Mytilus edulis: one gene and its partner. The protein of the gene in region 1 interacts with the protein of each later gene in a pairwise test. Links are inferred from orthologs where the notes say so. Each region holds a gene or a part of one and is shown in the gene's direction. Other genes may lie near its edges.

Region 1 (17,871 bases):
CAAAATAAAACGTTGACAGAATCTCACTTTATTTAGAAAGGAATATTATTTTTTTTAACAAATTACACTATCCAAAACATGATTAAGATTTATTCAACACAAAAAAATGCTAAGACAATGAAAACAATATTACTTCATGTACTTATAAGAATACTACTTGATTACAAAGTTAAAATTGGGCGCGAACATGTAGGGTGCGAACGGACTTTGGGTGCGAACATGTAGAGTGCAAAAGTGAAAGGGGGCGAACATGAGTGGGTGCGAACGTGAATGGGCGCGAACGGACCCGGATTCAATATTTACAAGGGAGACAATCCAGTGTCAACAGCGACACCTACAGAATACAGAATTATTTAGAAGAAACAGCGATAAGATGTATCATACCCTCATCATTAAGGAAGATCATACATTGATAAAGGGACTTTCTATACTATTTCTAATAGTATATAAAGTCCGGGGTTGATAGGAACACCACATATGCACCTTTAAACTCGAAGGAAAACACAGTATTGCAGTTGTGCGTTTAAATCCTACATGCCTTCAGATTGATTATTATCAATCAGGAAGCCAGATACGCTCTCATTTCTGTTGTTTATATACCAAAGCTTTCAGATCTACAAATTCACAGATGGACATACACAAAAATTTGACAAGCCTTCCGACGTTCTGTGGATTTTAAATTTGTAAAGCAATGGTCTTATTCATTTATGTGGGATGATTAGAGTTTCTTAATAAAATTTGAACAGTATGTGTCACGTACTATGTGTTACTTGACATCTCTTACTTTAAAAGATGTGAAAAATAATCAAAATTATTTCAAAACATCAACATCCGCCATTTTACCGCCAAACAGGAAATAGCCTTCAAATTTTGATGGTAATGGAGAAAGGAAAGATTTTTAGTATCTAACCTAAAAAGATAGATGTTTCTTTTTGCACGGTATTTTTCTAGGTCTGATTGGTTCTTGTGTATTTTTGAATGTCATGCACAATACAGTATGTTGTAAACGATTATATTTGTTTTATGTGTATGCCCCTTGGGAACCTAATTTGGAAACTAATAATCTTATCTTATCTTTTTATATCATAGGCAAGAACGTATAACATCTAATATACGTCTTTGATCATAGGCTAATAGGTTAATTAATATAAATTGCTTCGTCGAGCGCAGCTGAATACGACCGCAGAGGTCCAACTGTGAACAGTTGCAGCAAAAATGAACACAAAATGGGGGGAAAAGGGGGGGACTAGGATGAAATTTGAAAAATAGGCAGGACAGGAGTTTTGACTAAAAAAAGGCAGGATGAGACACTTGCAAAAAAAAATGTCAGGACGACAATTTAGGTAAAAAAAAAGTCGGGATAAACTAAAAAAAAAAAGAAAAAAAGGCAGGACCGAACAGAATGAAAAATAAAAAGGCAGGACAGACATTACAGCTTAAAAAAATGCAGGACAAAATTTTTCATTCTAGCCACCCCCCACCACCCCCCCCTCCCAACCCTAAAAAATCAAATGGTAGCTCCCTAACTTTAAACATTTTCAAACTGTTAAATGATGCACATGTTGTTACTAATTCATTTATTATTGTTGTCATGTGTTGCAATTTGAATTAGACTAAGTTGCCGCATATTTGACCTAGATACGATCACAGGTGCTTGAGGACAGGATCCTGTATGAGCCCCATATAGTCCCTCCTCCCTTTTTTTTAAAATCATAATTCTCAGATTTTTCTATCTATATCACTTATTTGTACTTATTTGTACCATATATACTAATATACCATATTTATACTCTTAATATGCATGTTTACTATAGTCGAGATTCACGTTGATAGTAAACATGCATATTTAGAGTATAAATATGGTATATTAGTATATATATGGTACAAATAAGTACAAATAAGGGATATATATAGAAAAATCTGAGATTTATGATTAAAAAAAATATATATAAAAAAAAAGGGGGAGGGACTATTTGGGGCTCATACAGGATCCTGTCCTCAAGCACCTGTGGATACGATAACCGTTAATGTTGGCTGTTCAAATCTCATCCCTCTGGAAAATCACATTGCCAGTCGTTTACTTGTTTACAAACGAAAAAAGGAGTTCATGGAAGAGCCTACACAAGCGCCCTCCACTTAAACACATCGGACGTAGAAATTACCTTAATTGTCCAAATTAGAATCGAAATAATTGATGCAAGCTATACTTTATTGTAGTTTAAACATCAGTAGGCATTATATTCCTGTTATTTTAACCCTCCCTCTCGCTCGGGCAAAAACAATCACGAATATAATGCCTACCCATGTCAAAACTACAATAAAATACAGCTTGCATCTATTATTTCTTAATTTGACACATAATAGGTTTCTGGCACAGAATAACTCACGGTAGTTAAAGAACTTGATTTTATTTTATGCAATACGTTACGCTGATGTGAGTTTACCCCCTCCCCTAAAATAGAAATTTTATTTTATTTTCTTGAATCTTGAGACGATTTCCCCCCCCTCCCCCAAAAAAAAATTTTAACCCCAGTTTTCCAAATAAAAATTCTTTCCCTCAAGTTTTTATCATAATCTCATTTCAAATTTCCAATGAAGTTTGCAACCATAATAACCCATTTAAGTATATCATAAAAGTGTTAAAATAGAAAAGGACATACATAATCATGGCTAAAATTAAATATCTTTCATCAGCATTATTAGAATATAAAAATAAATTGACAGCTAATCACCTCAAGACAATACAATATTATTTCTTTATACATATTACACAAAAAGGAAGGTAAGAATTGGAATTTGGGTGGGGGGGGGGGGGGGGGGGGGGTATGGCTCAAACCATTTAGGATTTAGGGGCAAAAAAGGGTTTCCTGATAAATGGACAATTACTAAGTACATAACATAATTTGAAAGGGAGGTAATTGTCAATGTTGTGTTTGCATTACCTCCCTTACACTGCTTTTAAATGATGTTATGTACTTTTTAGGTTACGGAGGGTTGAGCGCTCTCGTCTCGTTGGCAATTATACCACATCTTCTTGTTTTTATAAAGGTGAAAAACAGTACCTTAGAAAATATCAATAAAGTCTTTATTGCACTATTTACATGTTGAATTTCCTTTAAAAAAATACGCTTACATACACGTTACAATAGCACTTGTTAAATACAGCTGCAAGTTCCAGAGCTATTAATTATAATTAGTCCCCGAATGAATCTCAGTAGTGAATCTGCATACCATCATGATTTATCATTAAATGCTGTACATTTATTGACTGGTTATGAGAGTACTAGCATGATTGTTGTTCCTAAAAAAATACCAATTGCTTAAGGCGAAGCTAGAAGTACCCTCAAGTAATGTTGACTCTATATTATTTTTGGTCCAGTTTGGCTAATACATGTGTTATAGTAATTTCAACCTTTGGTCATAAACCTATGCATGTGTTTCGGTAGTTATATTATACAACCTTCGCTTTAAAAAAAAATGCGTTTAACAAGCATCACCCCAGTTGGTTGGGTTAGTTTTCTGTCTTTTTTTTTTTTTTTTAGCTTTCTTTGTAGTCGGTTTTGTATACTGTTTTGTTGTTTTTCTTTTTTGCAATGGTATTATTGGCTTTTCTTCAAACTATGATTATAAAAAAGAAGATGTGGTATGATTGGCAAAGAGACAACTCTCCACAAGAGACCAAATGACACAGAAATCAACAACTATAGGTCACCGTACGGCTTTAAATGATGACCAAAGCTTATACCGCAAAATCAGCTATAAAAGACCCCGAAATTATAAATGTAAAACAATTCAAACGAGAAAAACTAACGGCCTAATTTATGTAAACAAAAATGAACGAAAACCAAATATGTAACACATCAACAAACGACAACCACTGAATTACAGGCTCCTGACTTTGGACAGGCACATACATACAGAATGTGGCGGGGTTAAACAGTTTAGCGAGATCATAGCAACCCCCTCAACCTGGGACAGTGGTTTAACTTTACAACATAAGAACGAAATATAAAAATCAGGTGAAAAAGGCTTAACTCATGGATTCAAATAGAAATACATATAAGAAATCACAGAGTGGACGTGGTCGGGTACTCAGCTGGTACTTGTATATCACAACAAAAAGATATTTAGCACAGATTTGAGAGTACTCGCAGTTAATGATGACAACTAGTTCAAAACCACTTACAAATAATGAAAAAAAAATCATGCATCTAAATTATCAATCAGTACACGTCCAACATCCAATCGATTTAGTGTAAAGACATCATAAACAGTCAGACAAAAACATGACCTTGTACAATGCCAAGATACAGGTATCGACAGATTGTAGATCCATGAATATGTATATTTTACTGGATAACATTTTTGTTCGCTTTTGAGATTCCGATGATCGTCAGGTAATCGGAATTCCAATGGAAACTAACTGTGCACCACTTATTGCGGACCTGTTTTTGTATTGATATGAGTTACAAATTATAACAAAAATCAGCAAAGACCAATCGAATCAATATCTGTTATAAAAATTTAATAATACTTTTAAATACTTAAATGATATATTGGCTCTCAATTATGACGACTTCAGTATGTATACTAAAGAAATTTATCCTGTTGAACTTACTTTAAATAAAGCAAATACTAACAATGACCACTGCCCTTTCCTCGATCTTGATATCTATATCATTAACGAAAAGCTTAATACTAAAATTTATGATAAAAGAGATGATTTTTCATTTCCTATCGTTAATTATCCATTTTTAGATGGTGACGTTCCTTTGTCACCATCTTACGGTGTTTATATATCTCAACGTGTACGATTCCCGCGTGTATGTAACAACGTTTTAGATTTTAAAGAGAGATGTATTACTGAAAAATTATTACACCAGGGTTTTCAATATCACAAACTAGTCAAAACATTTACTAAAAATTTACATCATCGGTACAAGGACATCATTCGAAAATATAGCTCAACATGCAGACTTCTTATACGTTCAGGTATTTCACATCCAATCTTTTATGGAAATATTCGTTATAAAGCACAAAAATGTCAGTATCCACCTCAGAAGGTAACAAAACCTTTAAATAGACTTATTAAGAAGGGATATAGATACGATACTGTTGTCAGGTCATTAAAAATTGCATATTTTGGCGTTAATATTGATTCACTTGTAGGGTCTTTGCATTGGAACTAAACACATTTATTTAAAAACCAGTTGTTGGTATGTCACGGGCTATGTTCTTCTCATATATGTTATGACTAGAACACACCCGCGAAATCGAGGGCATTCAGAGCTTGGTTGAAAGTATGTAAAGTAGACAGTGGTTGTCGTTTGTTTATGTGTTACATATTTGTTTTTCGTTCATTGTTTTGTACATAAATAAGGTTGCTATTCAATTAAACTGATGGAAAGATTATGATTTCATCATATGAATATCAGGCACAATCCTTCCCGTTAGGGGTTTAGTATCATACCATCATAACATATATGAGAAGAACATAACGTGTGCATACTGTTTACATTGAAATATGTGGTAACTTTTCATTCGAGGTAGGGGCAGTTAAGAAAATTAGTGTTAGTTTAAACTCTGAGAAATTCAGGGCATATATACGTTGAAAATATGCCGCACAGCTCGGACTTCTCTTGAACTGAATTTTAATGTGCGTATTGTTATGCGTTTACTTTTCTACATTGGCTAGAGATTTGAGATCAGAGGGAGGGTTGAGATCTCATAAATATGTTTAACCACGCCGCATTTTTGCGCCTGTCCCAAGTCAGGAGCCTTTGACCCTTGTTAGTCTTGTATTATTTTTAAATTTAGTTTCTTGTGTATATGGAGTTTAGTATGGCGTTCATTGTCACTGAAATTTTAACTAGTATATATATTTGTTTAGGGGCCATCTGAAATACTCCTCAGGCTGCGAGAATTTTTCGCTGCATTGAAGACCTGTTAGTGACCTTCTGCTGTTGTCTGTTCTATGGTCGGGTTGTTGTCTCTTTGACATATTCCCCATTTCCATTCTCAATTTTATGTATATAACAATAATATTTAGTTTGCTTTTAATTTACTGATAGCAAAATCAATATTAATACCAATAAAACCAATCTTATTACAGTGTTGAATTGGTAACCTTTTAGAATAATAAAATAATTTTATTTAAAGGATCGTCTGACTTTCGATAAGTTTTACAGGGTCGTTTCTAAATTTTCGGGCACGGTAAACAGCATCTCTGTAAAAATGAGGATGTGCTATCCTGTTTGAAATATTTTTTCTACAGGAACGACCAAACTTCAAAACCAAATCTTTATATCTACGGAAGACTTTAGTAAAAGTTTTAAGTAATTTGTGGTAATGTAATCCCTGACTTAATAATTTACCAGTAATACAAACATTACGTTCGTGAAAACGTCACAACAGACTTGGGTATATAGATTTGGTTGTGAAATATAAACACCGAAAGATGGTGCCAAAGGAACAATACCATCCAAAAAGCGAAAATTAACAATGGGGAACGAAAAATCAAGACAGGAATATCACTGAAAAGTTATTGTTTTTAATAACAAGATATATTTTATAACACATCCAAATTCCAAATATATATATATATATATATAACTCGTCTAAACATCAACCCAACAATGTTAGATCTGTAAATTTGCTTTCGCAAATATATATATATATATATGTAAAGTCTCTGAATGATTGTATAATAAAAACTATAACACAAATTCCCATACGTTTCGGCCATTACGGCCTTCTTCATTGGAATAAATTACAACATTGAAACAACAATTACATCGCTTGGATACATTACGTTATAATAACTTCTATGACGTTCATTTGCCGCGTTTTTCGCTTTTTTAATATAAATATATTTATTATCGTTCATACATTGTGTTGAGTCCTTCAGGTTCTAAAGTTTTTAATTTCTTCATCCAAAAGGCTTCTTTAGTTTTTCTGTAAACTTCTGTCCCAAATACTCTCTCTATGGCGGTAACTTTCAAATTTGTCATTGAATGATTGTTCTGAATGAAATGGTTGGCTACCGGATCTTCTGTTTTTTGTGTGCGTATTTTTGAAAAGTTCAATAGCATTCGTTGATATAGTGTATCACCCGTTTGTCCTACATATATAACTTTTTCACATTTTGTACAATTAATCGCATAAATCGCTTCCAAATGTACATTCAATTCATAGAAAAAATCTTAAAATTCTCCATCAATCTGAAAGACTAAAGAAAATATTCCCCGATCCGCCTATCGTGGCATTTAAACGCGATAACAACATAAAAGACATCTTAGTGCACAAAAAGCATAATTTACTATTTTATAAACAAACTAATGGATGTGGACCATGTGGTAAAAATTGTGCATTATGCTCACATATAAATGAAACCAAGGTATTTTGTGACAACACCGGCAAAGAATATACCATTCAGGGACAAATAAATTGTAAAACCGTAGGCGTGATATATGCGAAAAACGCGGCAAATGAACGTCATAGAAGTTATTATAACGTAATGTATCCAAGCGATGTAATTGTTGTTTCAATGTTGTAATTTATTCCAATGAAGAAGGCCGTAATGGCCGAAACGTATGGGAATTTGTGTTATAGTTTTTATTATATATATATATATATATATACAACTCGTCTAAACATCAACCCAACAATGTTAGATCTGTAAATTTGCTTTCGCAAATTTCTGGTTCTTCCCTCGCCGGGATTCGAACCCATGCTACTGTGATATCGTGACACCAAATCGCCAGCCGTCCCGCTAGACCACACGACCACCTGGGCTATATATCACAAATTAGCAAAGAATGAAAAAAGTCTACTATTTTGCGTGTGTAATCCCATACCACCATAGAGCTGCATGCCTCAATCTGCAAGCTGATCTTGATGCAGCTTCAAAATGAGAAGTGGACTGACTGATGGCCATCTACCCGACAGGTGTAATGCTCTCTCTGTCACAATCAACCTTTAAAAATTAATTACACTCTTCACAATCATATTTTAGAAACTGTTACATCTGCTAAGTACTAAGGCATGATCATCACGCCTAAATACTAAGCAGAGCCGCATCACATTACAATCATACCTAAAATGGGACAAACATATAGATGACAATACCTCGTAAACTTGAAAACATCAAATCAAATCATTAACAGCCAGAGATACCAAGATGGTAGTCCCAAACTCGAGTACTCTTGCTCTGTTTGGGACCCCCACACTTCAGAATCTATCTCGAAGCTAGATGGTCCAAAGGAGAGCTTCTCTGTATGCCTGCAACGTGCATCATACCACTAGCAGTGTATCAAACATGCTCAATAATACACTCAACTGATCACAATTTACTCAACCAACGCAGATTATGTTCACGCCTGGTTATGATGTACAAGATCACACATCATCTTGTTGCTATACTATCTAGCACAGTTCTCATACCATCAGACTCAAGAACTAGAAAACATCATTCTCACACCTCCAGACATATTTAAACATCTAAAGACTCGTACAGATTTTCATTTTTCCCATAAACAATTAGTCAATAACGCAATGGAATCTATTATTACCAACTACAGTTGTTAATACATTTAAAACAGTCGACTCTTTCATAGAGCAGCTTACATATGTTGTTCTCTGCCCGGGCCACTCTATTTTGAATAGCTTCTTCTCCTGTAAATAATTTTAATCACTACGTCTGTTCTCTGCTGCAACATTATTATCAATATTTTTTGTATATAACTAAAATATTAACTTTTTTAAAACAAATAGGCCACGTATGCATCAGTTATTAATCATCTTCATTCAGATGGAAGACTGGAAAACAACTTAAGAAGAGGAAGGGGGCAAGTTCACCCTAGTAGAATGGCCGAATCGATTGTAGACGTGTCACGGAATAGCATTTCCTTCATTATATAATATCCAAAGGGAAAAAATGTTCTGGAATATTATTTCCACAGGAATAAATATTACAGTAAATGTTCCCAACGGAATAAATGGTATAGAATATTTGTTCCAACAGGAATAGATATTATGACAATGTTTATAACAAAGTTTCCATTGGAACTTCTGTTAGGTGGAACAAATATACGTTGACAGACGAACCGCCAGCCGTTTTTGGTTCTTGACGAACTGCCACTTTGTTGGATGTGAACGAACTGGTAGCGTGGACGAAACGACCTGTAGGCGAACTTGTAGTGTGGCCGAAACGTCTTTTTTTTTTAAAGATAACACAACATCAAGGCCGAGAGGTATCTATGAGGGTCCACACTTTTCAATTTCGTTATGTTATGGATCAAAATTGGTATCTAGCTTTTTCTCATCATATTCCTTGCAACCTTGCAGCAACATTTATTTCTGCTACCACATCTTTTCGTAATAAAATGCAAATAGAGGAACACCCTTTTCAAACAGCTTCCCGCGATATTTTTGCTCTCGCGCATGAATCTTTAAATGGGTGGGACTATTTTACTCTAATCAACATGGCTGACCAAAACACCGACTTTACTTGTCAAAAGAATACCGCAGAAATGAAGTTTGTTTGATCTATATAAGATAATATTGGAGTGACTATTGAACAGAGGGTATAGAAAACTTAATATCTGAAAGTAAAGTTGCTAATAATACTGACACAGAAGGACTTTTCGCGATACTTCCTACCGTTGTTCTGTGGGTGACTCATCTCCGAGATATCGGTCATGGAATAATAAATGAAGTGAGATAATGAAGGAAAACCAAAAACAATGCCAACTGTCAAAGTCTTAAAAATATGAGTAATTAGGTAAGATATTAAGATGGTTAGTTAGCAGACATGTTTTATATATACAGTTTTAACCGATTATGACAGTTTACAATGAATTTCAAGTAGAAAACATTGGTTTTATGTTCTCAAAAAGCCAGTCATCTGTTGATTGTTGACTCAACTTCTTACATTGTAGATGTTATCAGGTCATTTCATACCCATAGATTGGGTGTTAACCTAAAAGATGGTGTATGTATACATGTTAAAAACTATTAATAGCTTGATGTAGTAAATTATGTACAATGACATGTTTCATACATGTTTGTACTTTCTATTAATTGGAACTGTCCCACCACCACACTTAGAGCAATAGGTTACTTTGTAAGAGGTTAAACACCAACACAGGACCACACAATGTCAATGTACAAACTAATCAACCATTTATAGTTTGATCTGATACATCATTGCTAGCCAAGGGTTACAATCCAGTCCCCTCGTCTCTACCCTTTTTGGCGGATCTTAACCCTTTGCGAGCAAAAATGTTTCTGATAAAAATTCCATGCACTTATACAATGTAGTTATATGTTTAAATTCAAAGAAATTGGAATTGCTGATTTACCTCTGCATCCTTCCTAGACATCTGTAAGATCATGCAACATTTATCTCGGCTGACAGCAACCACCAGATCCAAATACATACAATGTAATTTTATATTTGTACAAGTCATAGATTCTTGAAACTTGGCTCTAAGCTTCAATGATCTGATAATGCTATCTTGACTACTGTGTGACATGTTTTGCAGTTCTTTCAATGTTTTACTTCCTGTTCGCCAAAAACTTTAACATTGATAAAAGAGGGACGAAAGATACCAGAGGGACAGTCAAACTCATAAATCAACAATAAACTGACAACGCCATGGCTAAAAATGAAAAGGACAAACAGACAAACAATAGTACACAGAACACAACATAGAAAACTAAAGATTAAACAACATGAACCCCACCAAAAACTAGGGGTGATCTCAGATGCTCCGGAAGGGTAAGGAGATCCTGCTCCACATGATAACATACAATGTACATCTACATCGTACATCATACATGGAAATGGTACAAATGTAATGTCCCAATTATTGTCTCTTCAAGGATACTCATGGCTACAATATTTCAAGAATCCCAAATCTAATACAAATGCTGATCAAAGTAAAAAAGGACCTTTTAACTAAAAATAAAGTAGTGCCTAAATGGTATTATACTACAATTTGTATATTGAGCATTGACATGATTGCAGTCAGTAATCATTATAATTCTGAAGGGTAAGATACCTGAAGAGGAAGAAGAAGAATAATTTACCAACCTTTCACTGTTTATGAATAATAATGGTAACAGATTATTATTTGGGGTTTCTAATGAATCATTCATGATAAGGATAATTAAACGAATCACAATAAAATTTTAACCAATTTGACGCTGAAGGGAAAGGGCCTTCCTTCCCTCTTGTATTGTCTTTATTGTCATTTACCAGGTGTTCATTTAAGCTTTTGCTTTAGTCATGTTAGTTTTTTTGTTTTTTTATCTGGGTAATTTTATTTCCAAAGTCTGTGTTGTTTTTCTCAGTTACAGTCTTTTTTTTATACATTTGAAGTTGCATTGGTGATGTTACACATGGTAGGAGGACAGTAATTCATTGATCCCCTATTGCATGATGTATCAACAGATTTTATTAGAGATATAACATAAAAGTGTGTTACTAGACTATTGTACCAGGAATTACTGGCCCTTCTGTTGTTAGTATCTATACATGTAGCAATACATGCAGTAGGTAAGGTTTTAATATCTGTTCAAGGATATCCATGGATGAAAATTTATTTTTAGCTACATAACATGAAAATGTTTTTGTATTCTGTAGAAAATTTTAAAACACACACATATATTGAAAACTGAGGGTAGAAGCTAAGAAATTTAAAGAATCATATTAAATGACTATTTTATCCTCGAGATTTTATCATAGAAAAAGCACTTTTATTCTTTTCTTTTTCTTGAAGTTGTTTAAAGGTAATACATGTAAAACTTCATTTGTTACAATACAAGCAACATCTTAACCAATTATTGAACTTGATATAGCGGCAGCCTGGAAGGACATGAAATGTTGGTTATAAAAAAAGTATCCTATTTTGAAATTCTTGAAAAATGATGTGATCATGGACAAATGATGGATATTTTGTATTAAATTTTTTTACTGTTTCTCAGCTTACAATGGCATGAATGGCTTAAACCACTGTTCTTGATAGAAAATAGTCTTTTAATTTGAAATTTTCTTAGAATGTGTCTTATCTTCGGTTTTATTTGAAAAAGAGCCTCAAGGAAAATGTCTAACCTTTAGTGAAGAAATTAACAGGTCTTGTTTAATTTTAGATATTATTTTGCAATATACATGTATGTGTAACCTATACAGTAGACATGTATATGTAATCAACTAATAAGTTCAAATATCATGATCAGTTTGCTGTCTTGTCCAAATCATAATGCATGGAGATAAAAAGAAATGGTAAACAATTTTACAGATTTTTATTGGACTTAATTAACTAATAAGATTAGCGAATTATTATTTAAAAATATATTTTTATAACTTTTAGTGTTCTTTTACCAATATCTTACAATAGTTGAAGGTATCAATTTTATATAGCTTGCAGACTTTTGTGCTAGTAGTTTGTACAAATCTCACTGTAAAGACGCTACTTTGAAAAAAAAAAACACATTTTTACTGCATTTTTTTCTTTTCCAATAGTATAAAAATACATCTCTGTTTGAAGAATTCTAACCCATCATAACATTAGTTGTTTTTAATAGAATATTTGATCACAGCAGGACTGGAGTAGTAACAGTATTTGATTACACAGACAAATTTCTTATCAGTGATATGCTGGAATTTCAATCATGGATAGAAACAGATAAAAACTTGTTTCATTTCCTGTTTTTCTGTACTATGCATCACAGTGTAATCTTGGAGAGAAATAGTGCAAATGATTAAAGCTTTAAATTCAACCACCTGATAGTTGGTAATTGAAGAGAAAATGTGCGGTTAGTAGAAAACACAAAAATAAAGATAAAATCTTATGTGCACGTGTGTACATATATTCTTATCCAAAAGTCTCCATCTTTTTTTATGCTGTAATTTATTAAATGTCAGTGAACGAACCTGCTGTGTCAGTGGACGTCTATTCATCATAAAATTTCAAGGGGAATGGAAATTAATTGTAACAGTTAGTCAGTGGTATACGTTTTCATGGAGAGTTAATCAATAGTAATATAGTACTACAGCTTTATCCAGAATTGAAAATATAGACACGGTCAGAAATTTTTATTTACTGGTACATTGTTGTATCAGCATGTAAAGTCCAGCTTACTCTGATTCATAGTACTGTATGGGTTCATATCTACAATGTTATCAATTTTGTCCTTTATAACCCCTTTCACAAATGTACTGCTGCAATTAAGAGTTTGCTGACAGTCTGACACCTGCATCTGTATAATGGAATTGTTTATGGATAGATCATGTACATGTACAAACTTCATGTCAGAAAAAGGGACTTGTAGCTTTATAGAAAGTTGACTGATTCATGTGCCAGAGGAAGAAAAAAGAATATGTGGTATGATTGCCAATGAGACAACTCTCCACAAGAGACCAAAATGACACAGAAATTAGCAACTATAGGTCACTGTATGGCCTTCAACAATGAGCAATGATGTTTATTTCATTAGCTAAATGCTGTTGTAACAGCTCAGTTGATATAAAAAAAGATGTGCCACAGTGGTATGATTTCCAATGAGAAAATTCTCCACTGCAGATCAAATTACATAAAAGCAATTATAGAATACAATACAACTTCAACAATGAGCAAAACCCACACTGCAGAGTTCATATTATGTTTTTCAGGAAAGGAGTAGTATATATTAACTGACTGTTATTGCTGTGTGATAACATGAACATCCATTTGTCTTAATTTAACAGCTGATTTGTTAATTTATTTGCAACCATTCTCTAGGCCACACCAATTTAATTTCTTGTTCTTTGGATTTTTCCACTCCCAAAATTTGGGCAAACGAGTGGTTTGAAAAAGAAAAAAAATCGCGAAGTTTTGAGGTGAAGCTTCAAAAGTAAAGGCGACCAATTGAATTAAATTTATTTTTGTTAACATTAAATCATAGGTTCTGACAATATTATCCAGTCTTCACATTTAAACATAAGTCCTACTGCATTGACTTGTGAATTCTTCTCTACAAGCCTACAGAATCCAACTTAAATTTTCAACAAATTGAGCTTCTGGCTTGTGGACTCAAAAGTTAAGGTGAACATGGTGAAGGCTGTAATGATCAAAACAAGATAATATAAAACTTGATTTACCCCTTGTACTGTGACATTTCAATAATTTATCAACTGCTGCTGAAGTGTTGTTTTTTTCTCTTTACCAAAATCCTGTACATGCATGCATGTAATGCTCACTTTTAATTGCAGCATATGGTTTGGAAGTGTTTAAATCAGAAGGGACAGATAGAGAAGACATGCATGTACACAGAAACTGTCCTAGACTAGAAATCAATAGATTAAAAATAATGTAAAATTATGGTTTCTCATATAAAATCTAATGTCATTTATTTTCATTTAAGGAGGCTCGAGGGTATAAAAATTTCAGAAAAAATTAAACATTTGTTTTTCACTACAAATTTTATTTATTACCTTTTGTAGTTGTTACTTTATCATATGGTACAAAAATCATCCAAAACAATCAATTCGTGTTGGCCCCAGATGACATTTAAAATGTGTACATCATTGAAAAAGTTCCAAATTATCTCCCTTTGGTGGAAAAATGCTCTTTTTTGGCTTTAAAATTGATATATCTTTTTTAACTCATCGGTGACATATATTTTTTAATATAATTTCCATATAAGCTGTACTTAAACTAAATTATTGTAAAATTTGAGCGATTTCTGTAATAAATTTCTTTTTTTATTTCGATAATACCTATATTTCTCCTATTACTTCAACCACCTTTACAAAAATGTATGCTTCTTTCGAAGGCAGATTGTGAGCGCAAATGAACGGTGACCCCACTTTTTTATTTTAATTTTCTATTAACTATAAGATAAAGTTCATTTATAGAAAAATATAGAGAAATCCTATATAAATGATTTAGACCCGCGAACCCCCTTAACATATATGTCTGAAGATTTAATACTTAAGCATTACAGTTTTATACCAAATAATAGTGTATGAATATTGATATTTCCCATAAAATGTTGATGTATGGAATTTAGGTCAACCCCCTTGTACATATATATCTTATTATACATACTTATATCTATATAGATAATAATTATGCCACCCCCAGAGTGAAGATATCATGATTTTTTTGCTTTAATAGTGCATTTAACATGTGTAATGGACAGTTATTTCACATGGTTATTAAAGGCAATTATTGCAATTATTGCAGACAATCAAATTTTTATAAATTGTATAACTACATACACATATATTCAATTTATTTTAGCTAAAGCTATTGTTTGGTATGCCACTTGTGATAATAGACTAGTAGGTGTCACTGACCGTGTCAGGATTGAAAATACACAAGACTAGTTTAATCCACCCACTTGTTAAAAGTGGCAGTTCCAGAAAAATCTTTTGTGCTCACAGTAAAGGTTGGGCAAAAACAATAAACAATAAATATAACTTGTTTCTTGCATTGTGGCTATTGCGACAGATAAATTAACAATAAATGTTGAATTACCAGTATACAACAGAAACTGGTCCCCCCAAAAAAAAAAAAAAAAAACAAACTCAAAATCAGCAGTAACAAACAAAACACACAAAATATGAACCTAGGTCAATCAGGTATTGCAAAATGTTAGTATCCATTTATATGACAACAGTAGCATTATAAAAATGGGATAGAAATTAAATTGGATATTTATCATTTCAGTGATGTGAAGCACAACGTCCGGATGCCAGCAGCAACCATGAATGAAGAAGGTCAGCAAGTCGTTGTTGCAAAATATGACTACAGGGCCGAAAATGCACAGGAATTAGATATAAGGAAACATGAAAAGCTGGTCTTGTTGGATGACACTAGGGAATGGTGGAAAGTGCAAAACAATCGTAACAAATCGGGATTCGTTCCCTCAAATTATGTTAAAAAGTCCAAACCTTCAAAGATTTTCTCTAGTCTCAGAGCAACTCTTGGGAGAAGAAATAAAAGTGATACAAAATTAACTTCTCATAGTCCTGTGGTGAGCCGCAACGGAGATACAGGAAGTGATCAAAATAGTACGAGTAGTGACGTTACGATTTGTGATCCTCAGCCTTCCATTGTCAAATTTAATTATACTCCTCAGAGGCCGGATGAATTGGGATTGACCAAAGCTGAACAAGTGACAGTGTTAGAAAAGTCAATTGATGGGTGGTGGAAGGGTCGTAAGAAGGATAATAGTACTGGATGGTTTCCTTCAAATTATGTTGACATTATTGAACAAAATGAAAATAGTTGTCCCGTGGAGTATTCAACAGCAGCAATGTTGGAACCTCGAATTCAGGAGCAAGAAACTGTTGTTGCCCTTTATGCATTTACTGGTACGCAACCAGAGGAACTGGCGTTTGAAAAGGGAGAGCGACTTGTGATTTTAGAAAAACCGTCAGAAGACCCTGATTGGTGGCGTGCTCAGAATGAACGTGGATTAGTCGGGCTGGTCCCACAAAATTATGTTCAGGTTGTTTTAGAAGACTGTGAAACTGCCAATAGCCACAGTTCTTCAACACCACAGTCCCAATCAACAAGTAGTCTATCGAACACTTCTAATCTCTCAGTTGTCGGTCCAGGAAGTAGAAAACAGTTTCGTGTTTCTGGTCCACTTGCAGATAAAGACTGGTATTATGGCAAAATAACACGACAAGAGTGCGAGGAACTTTTGAAAAAGTTTGCTCAGGAAGGAGATTTCATTATACGTGATAGTGAATCTGCAGTTAGTATTTGTCTTAGTTTTTAATGTGTCTGTCTACATGAGGAATCGGATATTTAGGTTTGCCTAAAACATCAAATTATAATATTAATGAGAACACATATTTTCCAAAGTGTTTGGTTTGTTAGCAAAGTTTCAAAATAATAAGAAGATGTGGTGTGAGTGACAATGAGACAACTCTCCAACATAAAATATATATATTAATAATACACTGTGAAATAATGAAGTTAAACAAAATACAGTTAATTACAAGCATTTATTTATTTATTTGCCTGAGGATATCATTTCCATATAAATATAAAAAAAAACATTCATGGACTAAAAGTATATTTCAGAGTTATCATCCTTAGGATTCGTATATCAGTTATGGTTTTATTTTTTGAATATACTCATAATAGAACCATTTCACACTCAATTGAAAGACCATCCTTACAGAAGGAAATGTAAATATTGCATCATCATTTGGTTTCACATATACATGACAGTTATCTCAATGCTCATTAAACACGTTACTGAAACAGCTAAGTAACAAAATGAAATAAATATTGGAATAAATTGTGGAAGTTTTAAATATTTTATCGTCTCCTTTTTTAGTCATTTTAGTATGATAGGTTATTTGCAATTTTCTAATACTATATTGACTCTTTTTTTCAGAGTGGAAACTTTACAGTTGTTTTAAAAGCTGCCGAAAGGAACAAGCATTTTCGTGTGAACGTGAACGATGAACAGTACCAGATAGGTCAACAAAAATTCTCGTCACTTGACCATCTAATAGAGCATTACAAGAAACATCCTATCTTTAAACAGGAGAATGAAAAGTTGTATTTAGTCAAACCATTCATTATGCCGTCAGAGTTCTGACGGTACATTATTATTACTGTATTTATGAAGCATTTTTTTGAATTTTTTGAATTAATTATTAAGTGCAAAAGTATTGATCAATCATAGCATCTTAATCATTGTTCTAATTTGTTGTTGAGATTTTAACCCCTACTACATAAGAATCTGTTCGAAAATGTATAACCTCAGAAACTTGCATGTAAATTGTTATATTTTCTGTTACATAGCATTTTGAATCGACAACGTTAATATAATAAGTTGATATATATTAACATAGGAGCA
Region 2 (17,513 bases), on another chromosome or scaffold:
TCCAGTTCAAGAGTTATGTCCCTGTACTAAAAGCAAAATTGCTGAATTGTTCGTTTCCGTTCTCTAACTTTAGTTTGATTCAACCAAATGTTATGAAACTTCTAAACAATGCTTATTACCACAAAACACAGACCCAGTATGAATTTTGGGGATTTCTTTTATTTTTTCTGTTCTAGGGTTATGCTCCTTTACAAATGAAAAAAAAATGCTGATATTTTGTTTCCGATCTTTAACTTTAGTTTGTCTCAATTCAATATTATGAAATGCATATACAATGATTATTGCCACAAAACTCAGTTTAAGTTCAAATTTTAGTAGCGTCACTTTTAAAGTTCTTGCGATATATCTCTGTATAACTTTATATGTTAGCGGGGGAATCAACTGAGTCCATAAACTCCATTTATTTGAGTTAAATTATTCAATCTTTGGGTGAAGAAAAAAAACCGGAAATTAATTGAAACCTGACAGTCATACATAACATTGTCTATTCATCAGATCATGCACAATTGATTTTTTTTGAAAATAACAATAGAGAAAAAAATAAACATTGTGAAAACGGGGGGGGGGGGGGATTATTATACAGTATGCAAAACTAAAAAATATGTATTTGCTGTCTCTCTTTTATATGAAAATACATACTTAGATATGCATAAAAATTATTTTATCTGATTTGTGATGGTTGCTAAGCAAGATATTATATCATGGATACGTTCCTGTGTAACCATGGAAACACTGAATTAAGAATTATATATTAGAATTGCACATCTGCACTAAAGGTACTCATAAATATCCTTTAGTTCCACGTTTCAAGCTTAAAAATTACACTCAGTGATACTAAACATCTTTTTAAATGTTCTTCAGCTGTTAACTTAAAACACACTATGCGTTGCTAAGGAAAACTCGGGTTGATTTGACGGATTATATAGATATAAAATCTCTTTTTTTTCATGCAAACATTGTTTCTTAATATATCAATATAGGAGGTGACTTAATATGAGTTCTATGAAAACATTTGAATTTTTTATTTTTTTTATGGATAAAATTGGATAAAAAAGTACTTTTGTGTGATCACTAGGCAACATTGTGGTTGCTAGGTTACTATTAAGAACTTTTTAAAATGATATACCCAACAATAGTAAATATTCAAGTGTTTGGTAACACATTACCATTCATTTTAATAGATTCAGAAGTCTTTTCCTTAGGCAATTGCAATAAAGATGAATATTATAGTTCGTTTTATAAAACCCGTTGCTAGGCAACTAAATAATCACATAAACACAAAATGCTCAACATTTTTTTAAGTCACTATGCATAGACTAATGATGGATTGAATATGAAGTCATTTGAAGAGGGGGCCAAAAATGCACCTTATCATACCTTGTCCAAAACGTATAGTCGTCAATTCTTTTTTTCAATCGGTCAGTGTTATTGTTAAAATATGGCAGGTAATTAAAGTTCGTGTTTTGAAGCCGAAGTTTAACGATTTTCACCCGTTTGTCAACAATCAACAAAAAAAGCATAGATATTGACATTGTTTAACATGCACATTCAGATAATAGTTTATTTTAAGGACATCCATGCGTATTGTGATCACCGGATTTTTACGAGATGGGTCACGCTGAGGTCATTTGCATACGAAAAAATATTTCCGCGAATTGCTTCCTGGAAGCAAGCAATTAAAATAAAGTAAACTTCTTCTAAATATGAACAAATGAAATAATTTTCTTCATAAAAAAGTATATGTAAATAAGTTTTATAATGAAAACTATCCATCGAGTTATGAAAAACATATGCATTATTTTTTTTTAATTTGAGGTTTCTTATGACTTTAAGAATTCAAGATAAGTCGGGTTGTAAATTTTCACATCCTATGGACAATGAACAATAACAGATGAGTTTAGTTTAAACATATTTTATTCATAGTGGATTGGGAAACAAGTTTTGCAACTTATATCAATCCCTTTCCACTTTGCGGGTGCGAGTGCTGCCGCTTATAGCGCCATTAGCATACTCGTTTTCGAAATCTACAAGGGTGTCTTTAACCTGCAAAATATATGGCTCTCTCTTAACACTGATCAGCCATTCATCATCCCCTTCCGACGGACTATCATCGTTTCCCCAAGACCATACTGGAATATGGTGTCACTTGAAGGAGAGCCGAAAATTCTGTCCCCGAAATTTTCATCCCAGATGAGTGATCAGATACACTACTCTTGAAAGATTGGGCATTCTGCTGGAGCTGTACACTATCAAAGATTTAAATATGACAGAAATTATCTAAGAGATTGCAATCTTACTAGACATAAAAAATTTCATTGTGTGACCCCCTGTAAAATAAAATTTTGGATGGCAATCCCCCCAGCTGTGTGATATTTTGGGTAATGACCCCCTCCCCTAAAATTAACCAACCCCCATAGCTGATAAATAATGACTGTTCCATAAAGACTTTTTTGTTTTTTCTTATTGCCAAAAATTGGACTTTTCAGATATTGTTTCATATGCAAAAGCTATCATATCAATGCTAATGATAAATAAATGTAATGTTTCAAATGTACATACAGTACAATATTTAGTGATTTTTGGTTTGTTTCTTTTATATTAGTCTTGCTACAATGTAAATCATCAAATTGTATAGTCGACGCCCGGGGAATTATCTTCAATAATTGAAGGAAACAGCTAGAAACTGAAAGAAGAAATATTATATATCATATCATACAAATATAAAACATGCCATCTGGCTTTGATTATAACTATCTGCAAAGACAGGATACCAGATAGCAGAGAGATATATGTATGGAGAGTTGATATCACATCTTCTTATTTCTTTCGAATTATATGTCTTTGTCTCTCCTATATCTAGGTATAAACGTTAGTATCTTTTCTAGCCATTTCAACTGCTCTCATCCAGAGATTGTATTTATATATGTCTCTGCATGGTTTATGTTTTTATAGTTTTTCCCTGTAACTGAATGTATAATTATATTGATATAATTTTGTTTTTGTTTATTTATATGCTACCTGTACTTAACTAAATTATCGTATCGTCTCCTATATCCTATCAAGGATTTATATAGTAAGAAGGTCTTACTGTATCCTTGATCCTATCAAGAATTTGTATACTATACAAATCTTTGATAAGACAAAATCCTCAGGACCCCCCAATATCCAATGTCCATTAGAGTTATCCCTCTTGTAAAATTTCTCAATATTTATAGATGGCGTATTAAAATCTGCAATTTGTCATGGCAGAGAGCACTGTAAGTCACTTTTAAGCCATCATTTAGGGATAGAATCACTGTTTTGATTATTTTTATGGTCTCTGTGAGAAGAAAAGTCACTATAATCCTTTGGAATTAATTGTCAATCTTAAAAGTCAACAGGAAATATAGTTATCGTCAAAAGAGATAGCTGAACCCGCCCCCGTCCGATTTCAAAATATTTAATTGACATGACAGTTCATGTGATCATTATGAAATTTAAAAAAACGGAAATTTGAACCAAATCCATGGTTACAAATACATTTTGAAGAGGTTTAATTTTGCGGTACTAATATGACTAATTTTATAGTGTTGTCCGATTTAGTTTCCTATTTCCATTTATAAATTACCATGGTAAAATTTAGATTTTCAGAGACCCATAATATTTTTCTTCTGAAAATTGACAATAACTGTTCACACGCACTTGTTTATGTCTATGGGGGTTTACTATTCACACTCAAAAATCGTATGAGTGTGCACGTGGGATAGTAAAAACAGTATACTTTCGCACCCTACACGTTTGCACCTCCGAATTCGCCTTGGAAGTCCTTTCGCACCATACACGTTCACACCCAATTTGTATTAGAATCTCAGTTGAATTGAAAGATATTGTTTTATATGTATATACCAAATAATTTTATTTTCTTGAATAAAATTTGAGGAATTATCTTATAATTTTTTTTTTATTAATTTGATGATTAATTATTAAATTTATGTTAATTATGTATGATTACTGCTAGTTGGTATTTATTCACAGCCTAATTTGGTGTTATTTTTAGTGTTAAAAAAGTCATGATTGTTGTTTTTTAACTTGCTTTGATGCATAATGTGTTTTAAGTAATAAAGAATGGAAATTGTAAAGAACTGCATATATTTAGCTTGGTATGACTAAAACTTTGAAGATTTTATATAAAATTTGATAAGTTTAAAAACTACGTGCAGGGAAAATATATGTTGTTTTATGAAAATATACAATAAATGTTTATGTTAGCTGCTTAAATGTATATATTTTAAAAGATAACGAATGAAATAACGTTAATATAAACAGTAAGTTCGTGCGCATGTGTCAAACATATTTTGTGCTCATTAGGACACGGCTTTGTTTACAAAGCGTAATAAGGACGTCATATTAGAATGTGCGATTTGTATTTTATTGAAAATGATAGTAAAAATTTGGGCGCGAATGTGTAGGGTGCCAACGGACTCTGGATGAGAACATTCAGGGTGCGAACGTGAAAGGGGTGAACATAAATGGGCGCAAACGGACCCTGATTCAGTAAAAAACCCATTTAGGTTCTAAACCATTGCCTGTGTCACTGTCACATAGACATATTTACACTTGTAGGCAAAGTTGTTTGCTATTATGTATTCAAGTTCCATTTATTTTGACACCACAATTCAAAAAAGTTGTTGTCACAATTAAAAAGTGGTTGATGCTTGATGTCATACGTACGGTTATTTTGGAGCAGATCTAAGAGGGGGGCAGGACCTTTTTCGGGACGTCAGTATTGGGTCTTTTTAAGCTTGGGATTTCAGGATTGACCCTTTCGGGATCCTGGATTTTTTTTTCTCGAATTTCAGGTTGTGGAGATTTTTTTGAAAAATTTGGGACCTTGTGATATCATGTTTTTAAGCCCTGGATTTCGGGATCAGTACCCCTCCAACCCCCTCTCATCTAAGGTCATTCAGAGACCAAATTCAGCTAAATATAAAAAATGTAAATATATAGGTTTCTTGAAATGTCATGCAGCCAGCAGGGTGGATTGTATATGAACTGTAAAATGAGGAAAAATCTCTCTTGACTAGACTCGAAATGGTCATAAAATTATACACTATTTACCATGGAAATATTATGGACAATGAAGTTGTTCTGTAACTTTTGTTCTGTTTTCATGGTTTAGCAGTATCCCTCCACTATCATGACTATCTTGGGGAACCATTGAATACAAACTGATACACGATGTTTATACGGTGTAACCATAAAACTCAGATCAAGTTTGAATTTTGGTGGTGTCACTTTTACTGTTCTAGAGTTATGCCCCTTTGCAAATGGAAAAAAAAATGATTTTTGGTTTCCACTCTGACTTCTGCTCTAAGTTTAACGTTAGTTTGTCTCAACCCAATTTTATGAAACTTATACACAATGCTTATCACCTCAAAATACAGATCAAGTTTGATTTTTTATGGGGCGCTTTTACTGTTTCAGAGTAACAAAAAATGTATACCCCTTTACAAAAGGAAAATAAAATGATGAGTGAACTTAAGTTTGCCTCAACCAAATGTTATGAAACTTATTCACAGTGCTTATTTATATAACAAAAAAAACCAACAGATTAAGTTTGAATTTTAGTGGTGTCACTTTATCTGTTCTAGAGTTATACCCCTTTACAAATGGAAAAATTGATGACTGTTTGGTTTCTGTTCTCTGACTTTACTTTGCCTCAACCAAATGATACGAAGTTTATATACAATGCTTATAACCACAAAATATAGATCAAGTTTGATTTTTAGGGGTGTCATTTCTACTAACATGACTAATATAGAGTTATATCCCTTTACATGTATTTTTCGTTTTCGTTCTCTAACTTAAGTTTGCAGCAACCAATTGTTATCAAACTACAAAATAGTAACTACTACAAAATTCAGATAAATTACAAATTTTGGTAGCGTCACTTTTACTATTTGTTCTTCAGTTATGTCCCTTTAAAACTTTATATGATATGCAAGCAATAGAGAGCCATGGTGTAGTGGTTAGTGCATCGGACTACTAACACAAAGGTTCCTGGTTAGATTCACGTTCTGGGATGAAAATTTCAGGGACTGAATTTTCGGCTCTCCCTTGACACCATTTGCAAGTATGGTCTTGAGGAAGCAATGATAGTCTGTGGGAAGGGGACAATAAATAGCTACCCGTGTTAAGAGAGAGCCATATCTCTTGCACGTAAAAGTCACCCTTGTAGATTTTCGAAAAAAGAGCAGGCTAATGCTGCTACAAGGCAGTACTCTCTGACACCAGCAAAGTGGAAAGGGATTAATTTAAGTTGCAAAACTTGTTTCCCAATCCACTATAAATAAATATGTTTAAATTAAATTAAGTTAAGCAGTATAGCATCATGTGAGTCCCATGGAAACATTCCCCTTTTATTTATAAATGAGTTCAGAGAGGTGACTCCAGTAAATTTAATGTGTAAAAAAGTCAGAGTTAGTTCTGCCCGAAAAGTAATTTACACATTTGAACATTTTTCAGCACAGAAGCTATGATATACATGTGATATATATAAATCCAAATTGAGCAGTACATACAATAACATATATTCATGATACATTTATATCTATTTTCAAATTTTAATCATATATATATATATACATACGTACACAACAATGTAAACAAAAATCATGACTTGACTAAAAAGGTGAAAGTATATAAAACAGGCTATTATTTGAACTTGGAATTATTTTTAATTATGGAATTTGCTTGATTTCTTGTTATTGAAATTTTCAATAAATTCCACGTTTATTCTGTACTGAAATGTTCTGTGCTGCCCACAACACTTTCTATTACAAAGAAAATAGTATTTTTTAATAGAATGTACTGTGCCGCGCACAACACTATCTAACCAAAATACATTGTATGGAAAGTGTTATTAACCGCTCAAAAGATCATAATACCAAATATTACATGGAATTTATAAAAAAATTTAATCACAAAAAATTAGGCAAATTCCATAATTAAAAATAATTCCAAGTTCAAATAATAGCCTGTTATAACATTTAACAGGTTTAAATCCCATCATCTGACGAATCTTAGCAATACTGTTATTTATCTACTGAATTCAACTTTTTCCTGACCTGTTGATTATTTTCATTTAAACAATGTGTGATTATGTTTGACCACTTCTTCATTGGTTGAAATTCAATTTTGGCTTCAATTTTGTTTACTTTTCGCTGAATTTCCTATAGTGATATCATGTTATAATGATGATACATGTACTTATTATATATATCATTCAAAAGAAGGATGAAGATTGTCTGTTTACTGTATAAATATCAATATCGAGAAACTGATTCCTGGCACTAACAAATCTCATGCAATACGATATTTATCCACCTTCAACAGATAAATATCTCGTTGAGCTTCACTATTTAAAATTTGAAAATTTAACTGTTTGACACTGTTTGAGGTGATAAATATTGTATCACACTTGATGCTGAGTTGTAGAATCTATTCTTATCATGGTTACATTTAAATGCTATATACATGATATACATGTTTATATGTATGTGCAATCCAAAATCAAAGAAGAATCTTTAATTTGGCATGAATTGATAGAAAAATTGGTTTCATTCCTAGTTCATTTGTCATTTGTCTGGGGTCAGAATTGTCCAGTTCTTATAAAGTTAAATATTTCATGTCTAGCTTCTTAAATATATTTTGCTAAATAAATAGACAGTCACACAATTATGTTTTAAATATTAACATGATTAACCACATTTTACAATGTTTTAAATCCTATTGATTTATGCAATATGACATGTTTTCTCATCATGCTCAAGTGACAGAATTTAAGTTTGATGCTTCAGAAAGTGCAAAATGTGATATTTCTTTGTTTGTCTTAATCATCATGATCATGTTAACACAAATCATGTACATTTAAATCAATACTTTATTTAGAAAAAAAGTCCTTTTGTTGTAATTATAGTCATTTCTACAAGTGCCATATAAAGCATCCATAACAGTTCATTAATTTAAAAAATCATTATATTAAGTGCTGTATGGTTGAAATAAGGATGTGATGAATTCCCCCTTATATGAGTGTCTGGATAGAGTATACATGTACAAATATTAGATAATAACCTACCAATGATAAAAAAGGGCCCAAAAAATAAAGAAAAGAATTATTAGTAGGCCAACAAAATAAAAAACTAAGAGCTAGTAGGCCATTAAAATAAACAAAAGAGAATTAAAACAGGGGTGATAAACATGATTAATATAAAAAACAGAGAAAAATGACATAAGAAATTAAAGAATACAGTTCTGAATGACATGAATATAGGACCCCATGTCCAGACTCCAGAACCTTATAAATATATTTCTGAAGTTCCTGGTTTAATCAAATGCTAACTTGTAAGACTTTAACATTACATTTTTGAATCTCTGACAATTATATAGATAATAAACTATGTATCAGGATTTTTGTTCCTAATTAACAGGTTTAGGTGAAGCCTTGAAATTCTTATTTCACATCTTTCAGTATACTTTTCTCAACATGTCTCTAGCCTAAGGTTAATTTAAACCTAAATAAATATCACTTATGCTTCATCAACCAACAGGTAAACAGACAAAAAAATGAAATGATTAATTCTGATGAATTACGATAAGAACATCTTTAATAATCGGGTAAATAAACCCTTGTTACTGACCGAGACGTTAATTTGAGTCATTCAAATATCACCTCAGTGTATTTATTACTAATAAGGTGGTTCTGTTTGAATTAGTTAGTATAGTTTGTGACTCATGTTTTGATCAGTTCAATTGGCATGATTGGGGTGATTTTAAATTTGTTATTATTATTCAATTTTACACGAAAATAGGAAGAGTGATTTTTATTGGAAAATGATTCAGAAAGGAATGAAGGTAAAATATTATTTGTGTGAAAAAGATCAGAATGATTATCTATATTCATAATTGATTATAGACAATGATATTTGTATGTATAACAATGAAGTATCGAATATATTGAATTTAAAGCTACATGTATACATTATGTTAATATGCAAGAGTATTTGTAAACATGGAAAGTATTTTGGCAAGAAACAGTGAGACTATTTCTGCATATATATTTATATGTGATAAATTAATATTGACTTGTAAGACATGTAAGAAAAGTCTGCCAATGCATATATTACCAATAAAATTTCTGGATCCAACAGATGTATCTATGTTTAAACGAACCATACAGAAAATAATAAGTTAATAATTTACATTTATATATGTAACATGCAAATTGACAATTACATTTTATTGCCTTTCTGAAAAGCAGATGTTGAAAATATAGGATTTCAATTTTATTCTTTAAACATGTTATTCAAAATCATATGACGATTAACATGATTAATATAAAGTCAGCTGAAATTTTCAATATCGCCAGCTTAAAAAAGACCTTTTCCTGTATATCATATAAAAAAGAAGATGTGGTATAATTGCCAATGAGACAACAATCCACAAAAGACCAAAATGACACACACATTAACAGCTATAATAGGCCCCGATAAGACAATGTAAAACAATTCAAACGAGAAAACTAACGGCCTTATTTATGTAAGAAAATGATCGAAAAACAAATATGTAACACATAAACAAACGACAAACACTGAATTACAGGCTCCTGACTTGGGACAGGCACATACATAAATAATGTGGCGGGGTTAAACATGTTAGCGGGATCCCAACCCTCCCCCTAACCTGGGACAGTGGTATAACAGTACAACATAAGAACGAACTATAAAAATCAGTTGAAAATGGCTTAACTCATCAGATGGACAAAAATATGTATATTTTGATCTTTATTCTTATAATCATCATGGACAATTTTTACAATGACACCAAATATGTCATATGAAACAAGCTGTATCAGATTTAGTTACATTTCGTGTATGACTGAAATCAATTATGTTATTTGTACTCCACCCCTTTTTATTCGATTAATTCGAAAGAAATAGAACATTTGAAAGGTTTATTAGCGGATACAGGACTTTTGTATTAAATCAATTAAACATTAAATCCAAGATACAGTTATTTTTAAAGATAAATTGCTTTTTTCATTGCTATTTTTAGTGATTTAAACATTTTACAAATTGAAAAAAAATCTTAATCGTCTTTTAAAACGAAATGAATTAATGACTGGCGAGGATTTTAGATTGAAGTTAAAAAAAATGTCCCATAATCAATATTGGTTGATTGATATTGAGTGATTGCTATTTTAGAATGATTGCCTAATTAACTTGCATTTTACCAAACTACAGTAAAACCTACAAAGTATACCATGTTTACATGGAATACTAACTGGAACAGCCTAAATCACTTGCATTTCATCAAACTTACAGTGAAACCTACATTGTATACACTACATACAACAATAACTGGAAGAGCCCACTAAACTGGCTTTTCTTCAAACTTGAGTGAAACATATATGTAATCACTGTATGTGTTGAAGACCAATTGGTGGCCTTTTAATTTGTTTTTTTTCTCTTTGACACATTCACATTCTCCATTTCCATTTTCAATTTCATTGTATATATATTTGACAATAATACAGCAAAAAGCTTAACTTCATGAACTTACTTGCATTCCATCAAAATCAGTGAAACCTATAACTGAAACCAGTATAAAATATATCGGTCTTATATCAATATTAGTAATTTATCTGGTATAATTAAGCTCCTCTCTTTTTTTCTTTACAAAATCTTTAATCCATCAGAGGTATGAGTTTATTTTGGTTTAATCATGTTAATAGATACTCGGTATCAAAATGATGTTGATGTATAATTTTAATACCTATAAAAATTTCAAAATGTTGGCTTTAAATGTTGATCAAATTTAATTATATGAGTTATCTCCCCTTGTTTCTTCTACTAAACTATGCAACAGTTTTGATAATTATATTTTTTTTCTATTTTCAGGTAAAAGTTTTATATGATTTTGATGGTGATCCAGATAATGGAGAATTGTCTGTCAGAGCAGGGGAAGAATTAACAGTTACAGCACAGGTAAGTAGATTTAACAAAAAAGAAGGGGAATGGACAAAGTTTGGGCAGTGTGATAGCTGATCATTTACTCATTAGAGTTGGGGAGGGGGTCGGAAAACTTTGTTTCTGCTGATTATTCTTGTAAAGTACATGTATAGATCTAAGTTATCATGGGTATTGGTGGCTGAGTGGACTGAGAAACATGATCACTAGCATGTCAACACTGAGTTTATGATTTGCGCCTGCTTCCTTAGTCATGGTCATTGAGTTTGAAACTCGATCCTTTTTGTGAACATGGTAAAAAAAATTGATGGTGAAAGTGTTTTACTCCAATCTAAATTTGCAAAGTTTTTTTGTCAAAAATCATGGTTTTCTCTTGGTACACTCGCTTTATCAACTTACTTAAACTCACTGTGACCGTGATATAAAGAAGATAATTTAAAGAGATACTGAAGATAATTTAAATTTTGTCATCATCGAAAAGGATATTATAATTCAGCCTTCTCCTTCTTTAAGTTTCCAACTATATAAGTTGAACTATGAAATTTTAAAAGCTGTACTTGAAATTGTTGTCAACCGCGTTCCCTGAAAAAAGGAAAAGTATAAAATACAGTACATAGTTATTTTACAGATGCACGAAGTTAATATTTTCACTATAGACATATCTTATCTAGTATACATGATATACATGTGTCCTCATTGACTTTATACTATACCCCACATTTCCTTCAATGTATATTGATTTTATATATAATATTTTATATATCATATAGACCTTTTGCCAGGAACAGTTATGTTTTTGATACGAAGAAAAGTAATTTTGTAATGATGTAACAGGAAGCTGGCTTATCCTTTGTTTTTTTTTTTTAGAAAAGATGAAATGTAAACATGGATGTACAAAAATCTGACATCCAATAAGCTAGGAAATGCATTAATTAAAAAAATCAAAATTATTCTTTATGATCTTATATTACCCAGTTGTACCTATCCCCTGAATGTATAAACCAGATTTTGATATACATGTATTCATGGTATAAAAAAAAGTAAAATCACAAAAATACTGAACTCCAACATGTTCAAGGAAAATTCAAAACAGACTGTGAGTGAGTCCCGTAAATCTAATGGCTAAAGAGAAAAATCACAAAAACACTGAATTTTTAAAACAGAATATGTCCCTAATCAAATGGCATTTACCAGTCATTGTCTATTTCAAGAATTAGATAATAAAATGCATTCACTAGAATTAGACTCAGATTTCTTTTGAACTTTTAAACACCAAATTTATACACATTAAACAGAAAATGAAAAGATTAAAATTTATTTCATAGTACATGCTTATTGAATTAAAATCTTGGCTAAAAAACAGAGTGCTATATTAGGGTTTCTTATGAGTTAAAGCTTTATAAGTTTATGTTCCCTTATTTCACGGAAAATATATTTATCAATATTTTTACCAAGTATAATATATATCTATATGTCATTATAGAGTGTTTAAATTATATCTTTCTAGATAAGTAGCAATACAGATTCGTAGTTTCCTGTTCAGAACAGGAATAAAACACTTTTGTTCTGATTAAGTATAGACTGAAGTACTTGAAATATAGAAGATGACAGTTGACAGCCTCTTAGTACATGTATACTGGTACTATCCACGCTTATCAATCTTTCCACTTAAACCATGTTTTTTCGTATTTTTTTTTTTTTTTTAGCTCACCTGCTGGCCTAAAGGGCAAAGATAACTTCACTCATAGGAGTTATTGACCTTAAATTTTACCTTTTTTAATCCTTTGCCTATTATCTTAAACAATAAAGTCTCATGATCAAAATCATCAGTAGAACCCTTGTAAGAGTTACTGCCCTTTGATGAAGATTTTTATCATTTTTTTTTATGTTTTTGCCTTTTATCATCGTTTATCCTTAAAATTATAATAGCCTTCTTATAATCATCAACATATTGCCAATGAGACAACTATGCACTAAAGTTCAAATGAAGTGGATGTTATTGTTTTATAATTGATTTTAATAGCTTTATTATTTACTAAAATTTTATTGAAATAGGGATTTCATAATCCAATATTTGGAAGGGTCAAATTAAAGGATGACACTTAACAGACTTAATAGATGTTATCTTCAAGTGATTTGTATTGGCCATTATCAGGATTATCAATAAATCAAACATTGAATCAGAGAAATTAAATAATGTAAATCAAAGTGTAATAATCTTTCGAAAATAAAGTAAAATGTATTTGAAATAATATACAATAAACTATTTATAGAATAAAAAAAGTTTCCTAAAAAGGAATATATATTGCACTGAGTGTCATGTAACCTAAAAGTTGATTGTGTTACTATAAAATTGCTACATGTAACTTTACTTACATTAGCTAAAAGTGTTGCTAAAGTGTAAATCAGATAAAACACAGACTGGTAACTTTGAAACATCTAAATCTCAGAAATTATTATGAGGTTTTTATTAATGCAAATAATTCAACAGTTAGTATCTCAATTATCTGTTTGCAGATTTTCAGTAAATCTCAATAATTAATATGGCAATAAATATGCCCATTCTTCAAAAAACGAATAATACATATGCACGAAATAATTTCTGAATTTTAGTAACAGTACAAATTCATGTATTAACACCTGCATGGATTGAAAAAATATCTCAGATTATAGCAACCATGTCATAGATGACAGTTATCATGGTTATAGGGTGAAATATCTATGTCATGTCATGTCAGTCCTGACCACCAAAAGTCAGATTGGTCTACCACTAAGATAGTAGCATTCAACTGAATGTTTGTGGTGGTTTTATGCCTTTTTGTGTTTCCTGGTAATTAGTAAAATTCTAGTTCTCGAAAAGTGGTGTTCTGAAGGATTTGACCACCAAAATTTGTAAAGGACCAACAGAATTTTGGTTTTTTATAATAGAAATAGTATTGAGGACCAGCAGTTATTCTTCAGGGACAACCTTATATATAACAATTTTGAGAACCTCTGCAATGACAGTTTTTATATCAATTTTTGAAATGGAAGTATTATAGTTATAATGTAAATTTTCAAATCTTATTTTCTACTATAAATATATCGCAACAAATAAATTTAGATATGAGACCACCTAATTTGTATTCTTGGTGGTCCAAATACAATATTTTCAAGAACTTTGTCATGCAAAAGGCCATTTCAGAATGTAAAGGATTATGGGATATTTGATTGTTCATATCCAAAAATAAAATAACGTCATGTCATTGGTTGAATTTCAATTGTTTAGGACGTTGTTAGCCAATCACAAGGCTTAAGATTTGTACATTTTTGAAAATTCTACCCAGAATTCATTTGATTCTGAAACAGCCAATGAGTTGGAGAGGTCACTGGGGTCAGTTTAATTGGCATAGAATACTGTTCCATTTTGTACCTTCTTGACCTTCAATGACTTTGGATCTGCGTTTTCAAAAAGTATAAATTATTGAAATTATAGCTTGTTAATACAGTATGCAAATGATCTCTTTCTTCAAGCTATATGTGTTACTGCGTAGAAATCAAATGACAACTTCTCATAGTTTTTTAAGTTTTGTAAAATTATGCATTATTGTGATCGTGATAGCAGGGTAGGAGGTATTAGCATTGATTTGAGAATAATTTGCGTTTCATTGGGGTTCTGAAATGCTATAAATCTTAAAAGAATTGAAGAAAATTACCAGTTTATGAAAATAGAATCAGGACATATACTTTTTATCTATGTGGGAAAAAGTTTGTTTCTTTTGTTGACATACAAATGTATCAGATTATAGGACACACACACATGATTGGATAAAAACAACATATTAAGTGTGAGAAAAGCCAGATTCAGGGCCTGGGGCCCAACATCAAACCAGATATCATTGTAAAGGTCATTTATTGGAATGTTGTTATGATTAAATGTGTTGATAAACTTGACATGAATTGATATCACCAAAAAAGAACATGAAATATGTTAATTTTGTTTTTTTCCCGAAATTTGACAAATTTTTATTGAAATTAAAATTTCAGGCTATTGTTTCTTACATGTCAGGCAATACATATTAGTTTTAGTTTTGGGTTTACAGATTAGAGGATAGATATATTGGACAAAAAGTTCAAAATAATGGTGAAACAAGAGAAAATAGAAAAATGATAAAGCCTAAGAGAAATATGGGGTGCTCAAATATAAAGAATAGAGTGAAATGGGCAAAATAATTAAAGAAATAAAGAAAAAATAGTTAAAAATTAAGAACACAGAAATGAAGGACTCTAATTGTGAACCTGCAGTATTACAATTAAGAATGTTTTACAGAATATCAAATTGAAAGTTACTCAAAAAAGGCGATACTAACATTCACCTTTTAAAAAAAATTTGAACTTAACTTTGTAGAGATTCTAGACCCTCATACATGTAGTTACATAATGATTATTACATGGTTTACTTAATAAATTCTTTTCTTGACAATGAGTTTTTATCATGTTTATTCACCTATTGAACATTCATGACATGAAGAAAATAAAGAATCATTTTTTAAAGACTAAAACCTTTTATCATGTGTATTGATTTTGTCTGGAGAGGAAAGAAAAAAATCAATTTTATGTTTTTGAATTAAAAGCTTTCAAGTAATTTTAAACATTTTTACGGAAGTGTTTTATGATTTGTATTGGACTAATTTACGTTTGGGGTCAATAATTAGCTCATTGTAGCTGTTTTATGTTTTCTATACACGACAAAATCATCAGAAAACATTTAATATTTTCCCTCTAATTGTACTGATTATAAGCTTGATTTAACTTATAATAGTTGCTCTTACTTGACCTATACCATAAAATTGAGAATGGAAATGGGGAATGTGCCAAAGAGACAACAACCCGACCATAAAAAAAAAAACAACAGCAGAAGGTCACCAACTGGTCTTCAATGTAGCAAGAAATTCCCGCACCCTGAGGCGTCCTTCAGCTGGCCCCTAAATATCCTACCACAAAGTAGAAAATCTATTGAAAATCTATATTCTTTAGATAGGTAAAGACTATAGGATACTACAATGAATGGTTTCTTTTCCCCCTCCTCCTTCCCTGTTTTTGGGGAAGACGGCTTCAAGCCGTCAATCCCCAATGGGGTTGACCAGAGTGACATTCCCTCACATCATTCATTTTGTTTTTATAGTGTGGAAAACCCCCCAACAAATCTTACTGAGAATGATGAGATGGGGAGACACAAATGAATAAATTGACTTTAAACACTTTTTTACACATTTCCCTTCTGTTTCTCTCGAAATTATCGTATATTGAGCTCTCCTTTCATGCCTTTACACTACTTAAGTTTTTTTACAATCTGGAAAAATCAGTATGACGAGATATTTTAAATATATCCAACCTACATTATATTTTATAGTGACGTCATTGTTGGAATGCCACACTTCGCATCAGCAGGGATATCCTTCACTGGTTATTTAAATCATTCTCAAAGATTGTGCACTTATTAAAAAAAGTATTTTTTAAATTTAAACATAATGATGTTTGCTGTAGATGATTCAAACATCAACATGCAATACTTTAATTTGTAGGTCAACAACTTCCAAAGTAAACAGGAAGTCCGAGGGGCTACTTCTTCTTCTTCTTCTTTCAGTAACTTCCTCCTGTGGTTAGGAGCACTTCAATTTCTTGATTATACACAATGGGCTTATATTACACGGACTTATACAGCTAAAATCACTTTGTTATTTCACAGTATAAAACGCAATTGCATATATTAAAAGACGATGGGCTTATTTTACACGGACGATATTAAAAGTTATTCACTTTGATACTTCGTTAAAAATAGTCTAAAATGACACTGATTCACTTAATGATATTAGTAAAACCGTGGTCTGACACTATTAAATATGACTCTATATTCTAGAAGGCATCCGCTACCACTTTGATACAGCAATTGTCTGTATATTCCGTATATTATTGATAATATCAACGTATTCCCAAGTACATATATATCTCAACTGTCCTCCATGTACTTCTCACTTCTAACTGTTCTTTATGTTCACTATTTTATGCTCTGAAAAGGATCGAAAGAAAGCTCAATTCCATGTTATTGTTAATGGATGTATATATTATGATAGAGCATTAATCTGACTTAACCTCTGTTGATGTAGTTTATCACACAGATTCCTAGAAATTGTTTCAACCATATTTAAAAAATTGTTGACGTTTGGAAGTATAGAACCCGCTAGTTTTCTGCAGTCAACAATTAATTGGCTTAATGTTTCCCTATTTTGAAAATTTGTTTTCCACTGATCAATCCCTATTTTATTTATAACAGCCTGTTTTAGTGGGGCATAAAAAGTCCTACGGACCCCTTCCAGAGATGGACATCTAGTAAGGAAATGTAGAAGGTTTTCTTCCTCGAGTTTGCAGAGGGGGCAAATTGGGTCTGTACTTCCTATATTAAATTTAGCGTTGGTTGCTTGTAAAAGGTAGCTGTCCCAGTTAGTATTCTAGCTTTTGTTATGGCTT

The links.
Region 2: the proteins of cytoplasmic protein NCK2-like (region 1) and sorting nexin lst-4-like interact in a two-hybrid assay, tested with the Drosophila melanogaster proteins (2 studies listed by BioGRID). The link is inferred for Mytilus edulis from reciprocal best matches to the Drosophila melanogaster genes dock and SH3PX1.

What each region holds. Positions count from the first base shown.
Region 1 is NC_092346.1:20,312,865-20,330,735, forward strand, and holds the start of cytoplasmic protein NCK2-like, read left to right. Parts: upstream 1-9,451; 5' UTR 9,452-9,781; intron 9,782-15,716; 5' UTR 15,717-15,738; coding exon 15,739-16,752; intron 16,753-17,403; coding exon 17,404-17,610; 3' UTR 17,611-17,871. UniProt on the Drosophila melanogaster protein: Adapter protein that links cell surface receptor tyrosine phosphorylation to downstream signaling pathways and effectors, many of which are involved in regulation of the actin cytoskeleton.
Region 2 is NC_092350.1:70,777,104-70,794,616, forward strand, and holds the start of sorting nexin lst-4-like, read left to right. Parts: upstream 1-8,754; 5' UTR 8,755-8,871; coding exon 8,872-8,892; intron 8,893-10,937; coding exon 10,938-11,024; intron 11,025-17,513.